2 linked regions of the Mus musculus genome follow. The protein of the gene in region 2 purifies or fractionates together with the protein of the main gene of each other region. This does not show direct contact. Links are inferred from orthologs where the notes say so. Each region holds a gene or a part of one and is shown on either strand. Other genes may lie near its edges.

Evidence for each region. Proteins that work in one complex are often made in the same cells at the same time.
Region 1: the proteins of Ift57 (region 2) and Coro1a purify together in Homo sapiens (affinity purification with mass spectrometry; 3 studies listed by BioGRID and IntAct, counting the BioPlex papers as one, with this or other methods). This does not show direct contact. The link is inferred for Mus musculus from reciprocal best matches to the Homo sapiens genes IFT57 and CORO1A.

The regions. Positions count from the first base shown.
Region 1 is NC_000073.6:126,702,004-126,706,088, forward strand, and holds the start of Coro1a (coronin-1A), read right to left. Parts: upstream 2,814-4,085; 5' UTR 2,649-2,813; exon of another isoform or gene 2,425-2,648; intron 2,218-2,424; exon of another isoform or gene 1,966-2,217; intron 1,193-1,965; exon of another isoform or gene 1,172-1,192; 5' UTR 1,171-1,171; coding exon 973-1,170; intron 126-972; coding exon 3-125; intron 1-2. UniProt on the Homo sapiens protein: May be a crucial component of the cytoskeleton of highly motile cells, functioning both in the invagination of large pieces of plasma membrane, as well as in forming protrusions of the plasma membrane involved in cell locomotion.
Region 2 is NC_000082.6:49,697,896-49,702,103, reverse strand, and holds the start of Ift57 (intraflagellar transport protein 57 homolog), read right to left. Parts: upstream 2,811-4,208; 5' UTR 2,767-2,810; coding exon 2,555-2,766; intron 251-2,554; coding exon 88-250; intron 1-87. UniProt on the Homo sapiens protein: Required for the formation of cilia. Plays an indirect role in sonic hedgehog signaling, cilia being required for all activity of the hedgehog pathway.

The DNA.
Region 1 (4,085 bases), on a different chromosome or scaffold from region 2:
ACCATAACTGTGCAGTCCTCAGAGCCACTGGCAATGACATTGTCATTGTGTGGACACCAGGCGATGTCTAGCACAGGGGCAGTGTGGCCGCAGACCAGGGGCACGTTCTTGTCTACTCGTCCAGTCTGGGGGCACAACGGGGATTCTAATGGAGGCGATTTGACCTCTGAACCCAATCCAACCTCCCCACACACCCCTGCAGAGGGACGCAGAGGAAGGCTGTGGGGTCCCTGGGAGCACTGGGGTGGGGAGGACTTGGCATCGTCTAGTCCCAAGAAAGCTAGCACCAAATGAGACTCTGGCCAAGATCCTGGCCCTCTTTCTCAGTGTCATGTGTGGGTACCATGGACCCAGGGTGAGCATGGGGCTGTGGTCCCCAAGAGGAGAGTGTGAGAAGAGTGCTATAGGATGTGTCCTATAGATTTGGGCCTGGAGGTCTGTCTGATGCCTCTAGACAGCAGCAGAGGTTTGGAAATGGCCTCTTCCGAGAGCCAACTGCTTCCTGTGTAAGGAGCTGAGCAGGGTGCAGGCCCAGCTTCAACCCGACAACCACTTCCTCTTCTCTTCTGCTTCCATCGGCCCTTTTAAGGTAAAACTTGGGGCCTATCTCCCCTTCCTGTTTCACCCCCTGAGGAGTCCAGGAGTGAACTTCAGCTGAAGAACAGCAGGCTCAGAGGGGAGGAAAAAAAAGGGTTTTGCCTCGTCTCCACCAGGGCTTACGCTTGAAGGGTCCCCAAAGTCCTCGCCAGACCTGCAGCCTTATCCTTAGCAGAAAACCCCAAGCCAAGATTTGGGGGACCTGCCCCCCTTGTTTTGTCCCCAGAGAGCTTAAGTAGCAAATGGCCCTGTCCCATTTTACAGATATCAACACAGAACCCCAGGGAAGCTGGGTCACAGTCAGCTACTGAGGACCCCACAGTCTCCATGGACAGCAGAGTCCTCCCCAGGACCATTGAGGTTCCGGAAGCTCACCTTGCCTAGGGGTAGCACCAGGAAGGCCCCTCCCCCACTGGCCTCACAGATCAGAGCCATGAACTTGGGGTTGACAGCGCAGAAGCCACTGTCCCAAGTGGTTTGTGAGACGCGCACATCCTCATAGCACTGGTCAGCCTTGGCTGGCTGTCCAAACACGTGGCGGAATTTGCTGGAGCGAACCACCTGCCGGCTCATCCTGAAGGATACAGATTGTAAACTTTTCTTTGGGTCAATCCCAGCCGCACTTTGTCATCCCCAGAGCAACCCTTGGCCTGGCCTTGAGGGTTCCAGCATGGCGTCTGAGGCACCCTGACCATGACTGACAGCTTGCTTATCTCCCTGCTTACCCTCCCCAGTTTTTCTGTCAAATTCCCAGGCACTTCAAGCCACACCCTCAATCCTGCACCATCAGCCCCTACAACAGCCTGCTATGGTGTGGCTCCAAGGGTCTGGTTCTTGACTAAGACACAGTGCCTCCTTCCTAGTGGTCCAGACAGTCTGGAGATAGGTTCCCTCCTATCGAACTCTTCTAGATCCCACATCCCTCACACAGAGCTTCCTAAAGGCAGGGCAGGGCTTCTCCCTGGCCTTCCAGCTCAGGGATGGCACACAGAGGGATGCAAGCCAGCTTGCCTAGGAAGGGATGCAGTAGCAGGATGGCTTCCCCAGGTTTCTGGCTACAAGAAGCAGCAATGGCTTGGGTCCCAGCATCTCCCCAGACCTCTGCTCCTAACCTCCGCTCAGAAAAAAAGCAGATGTTCTTCTGAGCCATTTCTGCTTCCGTTAAACTACACTCAGGAGAGGCCCACCCTGACTTCCCTGAGGTCCGCTAAGATGGTTACCCACTGTGGCTAGGCAGCCAGCTAGTGAAGCCCAGGGGCTGCCTCTATCCTGTGCCCAATCCCTCCTCCTTCCTGCTCAGTAAAGGAACCTCGGCTGCGCTGTGGAAGGCATCCTGCCCAGAGCCTCTATCCACCTCCCCAGCCTCACCCATCTGCTCTGCCTTAATGGGGGACTCAGCCCCTTCGTGCTGGGACTCCAGTCCTCGCACACCCCGGTATCACCAAGGAGGCTCCCAGGTCTATTAAAAATAAAAGCAGGTGAAGTGCCTGAGTGAAGTCTCCAAGACAGGAAGGGGACACAAGACCCCAGTGAGCAGTCTGGATTTGGGAGAAGGAAAGCCCAATCCAAGGTAGGGGCGGAAGATGTGCCCCACCCGGCCTCCTCCCCCACCCAGGTACCAAGCCCGGAAACCACGGAAAGGGGAACTTAGTCTTGTTTTGCACTCAACCCCTTCCTGTCTCAAAGCTCAGGGCAGCTACTTGGCTCACCCCACCCTGCATCCCCCACCTTCAGAAGCTCCCTCCCCGGGGCATAGGTTCTGAGCCCAGCTACGGCCGCTCCCAGGAGCCCACCTCCATCTTGGTCACGATGGTCCTTAGCCCTCACCTTGGAGCACTCTGGGACCTACTTGCCCCTTCGAACTCCCTCGTCCTCGATCCTCCTGGCGGGGCTCACAAACCGGCTCTCTGTCCCCAGCCTGGTGGCTCTGACAGCTCGCCCGCCCCCACAGTCCCACAGTCCTGCCCCCACACTGGCGCTGGCCCCACAGGTGGCCCATGGCAGCGTTGCCTGGCCCTTGTGACCAGCCCTCCCCCGGCGCCCAGCCTCACCTGCTGCGGAGAGCTGAGCGTGACCCCTCCCAAGTAGAGGAGGAAGGAGAGAAGGATGGAGGAGCTGCAGGCTGGCCACCGAGGATGCTCTGTCAAGACAATGAATGAGCAGCGGCCGTGCGCCGGCCTCCTCCGGGTGGTAGCGCCCCTTTGGGCGGAGCTCATGGAGGCCCGGCCCTTCGCTCCAGGGCTGCAAGACTGGGACCGCTCCCCATGCTGTCAGCTCCAACCCCCGAACAGATGCTGACGCGAATCAACTCTTCTTTTAATGTCAGAACGCAAAAATATCCCGTTCCTTCATCCCTCCCCCAGCCGCCCGCTGCCTCCTCGAGGTCCTTTCCCTGGCACCGGAGAAAGCTTTAGAACGGCTTCAACCAGCTTGAGAGCCTTCTCTGCTACAGGAGGGACCTCTCCTGTCGTTACCCCAAATGGATTTCTGGGAGGCCTTGGGGGGGTCATTTCTCCTTTCTAGGGATTTAGGGCTTCAGCGGGGACACCCTTGTCCTCTGCTTCGTGGCATTGAGGCCCGGAAGAAGTAAAATAACTGGGCATTATGGAGCACCTGTTCTGTGCTGGGGCTATGGAGGCAAATGAGTAGTGCTCCCCCTCTAGAGAGCTCTCGGGCCATGAGAAGAGGGAGTCGGGAGTCCGTCTGACACAGTTTAAAAGCCACTGAGTACACACAGAAGTCTGATATCACACACAGCTGGGCTGTGGTCCATTCCTGTCCCTTGAGGGGAGTGGGTTGTCACGGTAGCAAGGGCAGAGGAAGAAAGGCCTTTGCTGGAACCATTGTTGTGACTCCTGGCTGTCACTCATTTGAGTGACCTTGGGCAGGTTAATTTAATCTCAGCCCCAGTTTCCTGTCTATAACAGTCTTACCTGCCTTCGTATGGAGATGGTCACTCCAAGGATAGCTGGATTTGCATCTACAGAGTGGCAGGTATTAATTAGTGTTGGGGTCTTACAGTCAGATATGGTGGCCCACACCTGTAAATCCATTACTACGGAGGCAGAGGCAGAAGGGTCAGTGAAACCAAGGCCAGCCTGGTCCACATGTAAGCTCCAGACCAAGGCTACATAGTGAGACCCTGTTTCAAAAACCCAAAAGATGTTGGTTCTTTTCATTATTGCCATTTACCAAAGCTTTGGGCTATCCTGGGAGGAAGAGGAAACACCACAAGTGGCTCTGGAGAAGGGTAGGGGGCTGAGGCGCAGTGTCAGCAAAGCTCAAGGACACAGGTGTGCTGACAGTCATCTGTAGTCAGGAAGCTGAGGCAGGAGGCCAGCCTGGGCTACATAGCAAGACCCAGTCAGAAGAAACTCTTCTTTAAGGTAGAAGTAGTTCGAAAGAACAGAAGGGGCTCCAGTTGTACTGATTAGCCGTGTGATCTTGGCCAAGAGGCCCCACCTCCCTGAACCTCAGTTTCTGTAGGA
Region 2 (4,208 bases):
GTCATCTGAAAGGCTAGTACCTGTTACTGAACTGTTACTATTGAAATCCACAGTCTGAGAATACGGAGAAGAGAGTATCTCACTTACAAAAGAGCGAAGCTCAGAGAGTATATTAGATATAGTTGCATTGGGATCGTCGTATTCTTGAGGCTGCTCAAAGGCACGGCCAGTTTTGTTGATCAGCCACGCAGCAAGAGTGCAAAACATGTAGAACTGCTCGCCTGGGTTGGTAGGCAGAGCAAAGTAGTGTCTGTTTCAAAGGAAGGGAGGATTGGATGTGTAAGCTAAAGCAAGTCAACAGTGAGTAAGTCCAAAGTTGCTAATTGTCCCTCAAGCATCCTTCATTAATACTCTTGAACGATCTAGTGATTCACGGCACTCAGAACGTTTCGAGCTAGTATCAAGGGACAATCCCTACAGCACACAAAATATTTGACCAAAACCCCCTACAACCAGGGAATGGAAGGTAGTAATTTTTGAGAATGGCATGAAGGTTTGGTCAAAATCAATTAACTGGTCATGAGTAAGTTCCTCCGCCCCCCAAGTGGCAACTGTGGATTTAAAGAGACTAATAACTTAGCATGTTTTTACTGGTTGTAGCCTACCAGCTATGCCAAACATCTTAGCTACATATTCCAATCAACTCCTTAAAGTGCTGCCAGGAGCGTCTTCCCTCAGTCCTGCACAACCATAACTTATGGGAATGGAACCCTACACAGGTACATTTCAGAGGTTCCCAACTTAGATGGTGCAGGGTTTCAGAAAGGAACAAGAACCTCCATGAGGTCCCCACACGTCACCACTGCTGCACTTTGCTAATTCCATTACTGTACTAGATATGTTCCCATGAGGGTAGATTTGTACAGAGCTAAGGAGGACATAAAAGGTACAACTAGCATCATCCAAAAGGTGAATCAGAGATCTGCTTTGTTTTCTCTATGTTGCTATCACTATTACATACATATATATATACACATATATATAATATGAATTTAAAGAGACTAATGACTTATGTTTTTAAATGTGTGTGTATGTATAAAACCAATTACATAAGAATCAGTGATCTATACTTCTATTTTCTAAACTTTTTCCATCCAGAAAGTATAAATGTTCAGGTACAGGTTTACAAGGAATTTACCCACCAATAACTGTTTATTCCTTATTATCACTCCTTGAGGCCAGAGGAAGGGACACTGACAGATACTGTGGGCCTGTGATGGGGATTCGGCAGCATGAAGGTATATCAGAATCACCTACAGATGTTTTATCTCCAGACCTTCTGAAAAGGCAGACCTGGACAAGAGCCTGACAACTTCTTCCTACATCCCCAGGTGATGTGGACGTGCTAGTCTGATGGTGACACCTTGACCTACTGGCTAGAATATCTCCACACAAATCCGTGGTACAAAGTGTCTTGCTCAAGCTTTGAGTTTCAGTACAGCAAGGCATTAATAAGAGCTCGTTAATAATATTACTATTAATAGTAAGTCCACTTTCCCTTTGTTTGACAGATAAATTTGAAAAACTTAACACTTTTATCCCCACCAAAAATGTTGGCCATCTATATTACTATGACCAATTTATTTTAAATAATAATCCCAATCTAGAAACTTCTATTATGGATCAGGATCAAGATGATCTTTCTTCTCTAATTTTTCTCCTTTTACAGACTAACTTGGCATTGTGGGCAGATTTTATACAAGAATTCTTCCAGACCTGTCTGGAAGAGGGTAAGAGCTTAAAACTGCCAAGAGAAATGATATGTGTCCCATTGATGGAAAAGAAAGTACGATAAATAACTCTTTAATTTCTTCTTACAGAATAAAACAAACACGGGATTTAGAGGGAAAAAAAAGCAATAGAACACAGTTATCACTAAGCTACCATGATTACAGGAGGGACTTTTGTCTATCACTCTTGACAACTATAGGCTCTGCCTTGGGGATATTCCAAACTTTCCCCACTACCGCAAGCGGGAACTTTAGGTCCTATATTGAGGGCCATTCCAAACACTTATTTCATTTGCCTTCTCCACTTCCCATTTTCTAAGAGTATTGTTGCAAAAGCACTAAGTCGTTTGAACCATAGTAATTAGCCCACAAGTTTACTTACTACATAACAAGTGCTGCTCAGAAATGTCCTAAGTATTCACAGTTGTTAGTTTACAAAGTCTAGCAAAGGAAAACATAAACTAGAAAGAGATCTAAATGATAAGGGCGCTCATCGCTAGAGATAGGTTTTTCTACCCTTTCTACTTTGGGTATTTTATTATATTTAAAACAAGATTTGTGTTTGGTAGACGGTGCGTGACTGTTTTGAAAAATGGGCAGACTGTCTTCCCCAGTCCTCCCTGCCATTACAAAACTTGTTTACTTTCTCCACAAAATGATCAAGTCTGAAAAACTACACCTTCCACAGTGCGGAAGTTTCCTTCCTGAGCACAGAAGCCAGAGGAAGGGATGTAAGGACCCCCGCGCGGGGTCTTCGCCTCACCTAAGGGGGAGCGTCCCCCTGGGGTCCAGCCAGCACCCGGCGCTGGGGGCAAGGCACGCACCTGGACGGGGGCTTCAGATTGCTCTTTCGGAGTAGCTCCTCCTCGTAGCGGAGCAGCTTCAGCTTCTCCACTAAGTCTTCCATCACCACGAACATGTGGTAGGCCGCTCCTGGCCCGCGCTCCACCACAGCCTCCCCTGCGCCTTCCCCGCGAGCCCGAGACACCCCATCGTCCAAGCCCGACGGCGGGATCACCGCGGCCGCGGCGGCCATCCCTGCTCAGACCCCCAGCGCCCGGCTGGGCTCCGGCCAGGATCTCTGCAGCCTTCGCCGCCCGCACCCCACAGACCGCACAGTCCCCACCGTTACCAGGCAACCGCAGGGCAGCCGGTCACCACGGCAACCAGACCCGCCTCCTTCGCTCCCAGCCGGCCTCTCTAAATTTTCACCAATCAAAGCTGGATTCTTACGTGACGTCACGCCATGCTGGTCCCTGGCCTAGGGGGTAGCTCCGCCCTATGGGCGTGGCGCATCGTCCCCCACCTCTTCCGCCTCTCCCGCGCGCCTTAAAGGCGTAGGGTCCCCAGCTATTTAGCGCTGCATGCTGAGTACAGCCAAGAGGAGCACAGGATCTGGTATTCTGCTCAGGGCTGCTGAATGAACAGACATCTGGTCATCGAGGTAGCAATTCAAAGGACTGAAACGAAGCAGAACAGAGTGTTGGAGGTTATGCTTGCTCAGTGATTCTTGTTTTATTTTCTCAAAGTGGGAAGTTGTGGTGAAACTCGCTGTCCTTAGGTTCACATTACCTCAGAAATTCCACCCGCAAGACTGCTAGTCTATTTCTTAACTTAATTGCTTATTAGATAGTGCTAGACTTACGAGTATATTCTAAATAAGACTTAAAGTCTTACAATGATCTTATCTCACTCCATTAGGAAAGCGGTTGCTTGGAAGAGGGCAGCTTGGGAAAAGATTTATACCACACACACATTGGCCTCAATCTGTTCCGAGCCCATGCAGATTTAAATTCTTGAGTACTAATGAAATCCCACAAAATATAGTATCTGGAAAGGAAGTGCTGCATTGTAGCACTTACATTTAGATAAGAACATTTCTGCTATTATGTCAGCACGTATTGACCTAGAAAACACATGGAGACATAACTGACCAGGGATGTGACTTATCCTTACAATAAAGTACTGCATCAGGCAATCTTTCTTGTAGTTAAAGATAAGAAGTGAAGCGAAGAGAAGTTGCCTAGCTACTTCTTAAGATAACTCAGAAGCAAGAGGTGTAACATTTGTCTGATTAACCCTGTGCCTGTTAAGGGGTCATCAACAGCTTATATCACACCCTAAATAATGTAGCAGGATCATATTTTTGACATAATTAAAATCTGAATCATATTTGTAAAAATCCTTGTGATAAAAGGAAGAGTTTTTCTTTCTAATCAGCCTTGTTTCTAATGCTAATAAAGGTATCCAAATGAAAAACATTGCTATTCATCAAATAAAAGACACACATAAAACTACTGATTTATGTAGAAAATAAAATGGAGATGAGAAATCCAAGGATAACTGGGTAATTGCACGCCTCACAGGTGGAGGTCAGAGGACAACCTTCTATATCAGTCCTCAACTACTACTTTGAGACAGACAGCTTTTCTGTAAACTTTTTTTAAATTTCTTTTGTTTTAATTAGGTATTTATTTC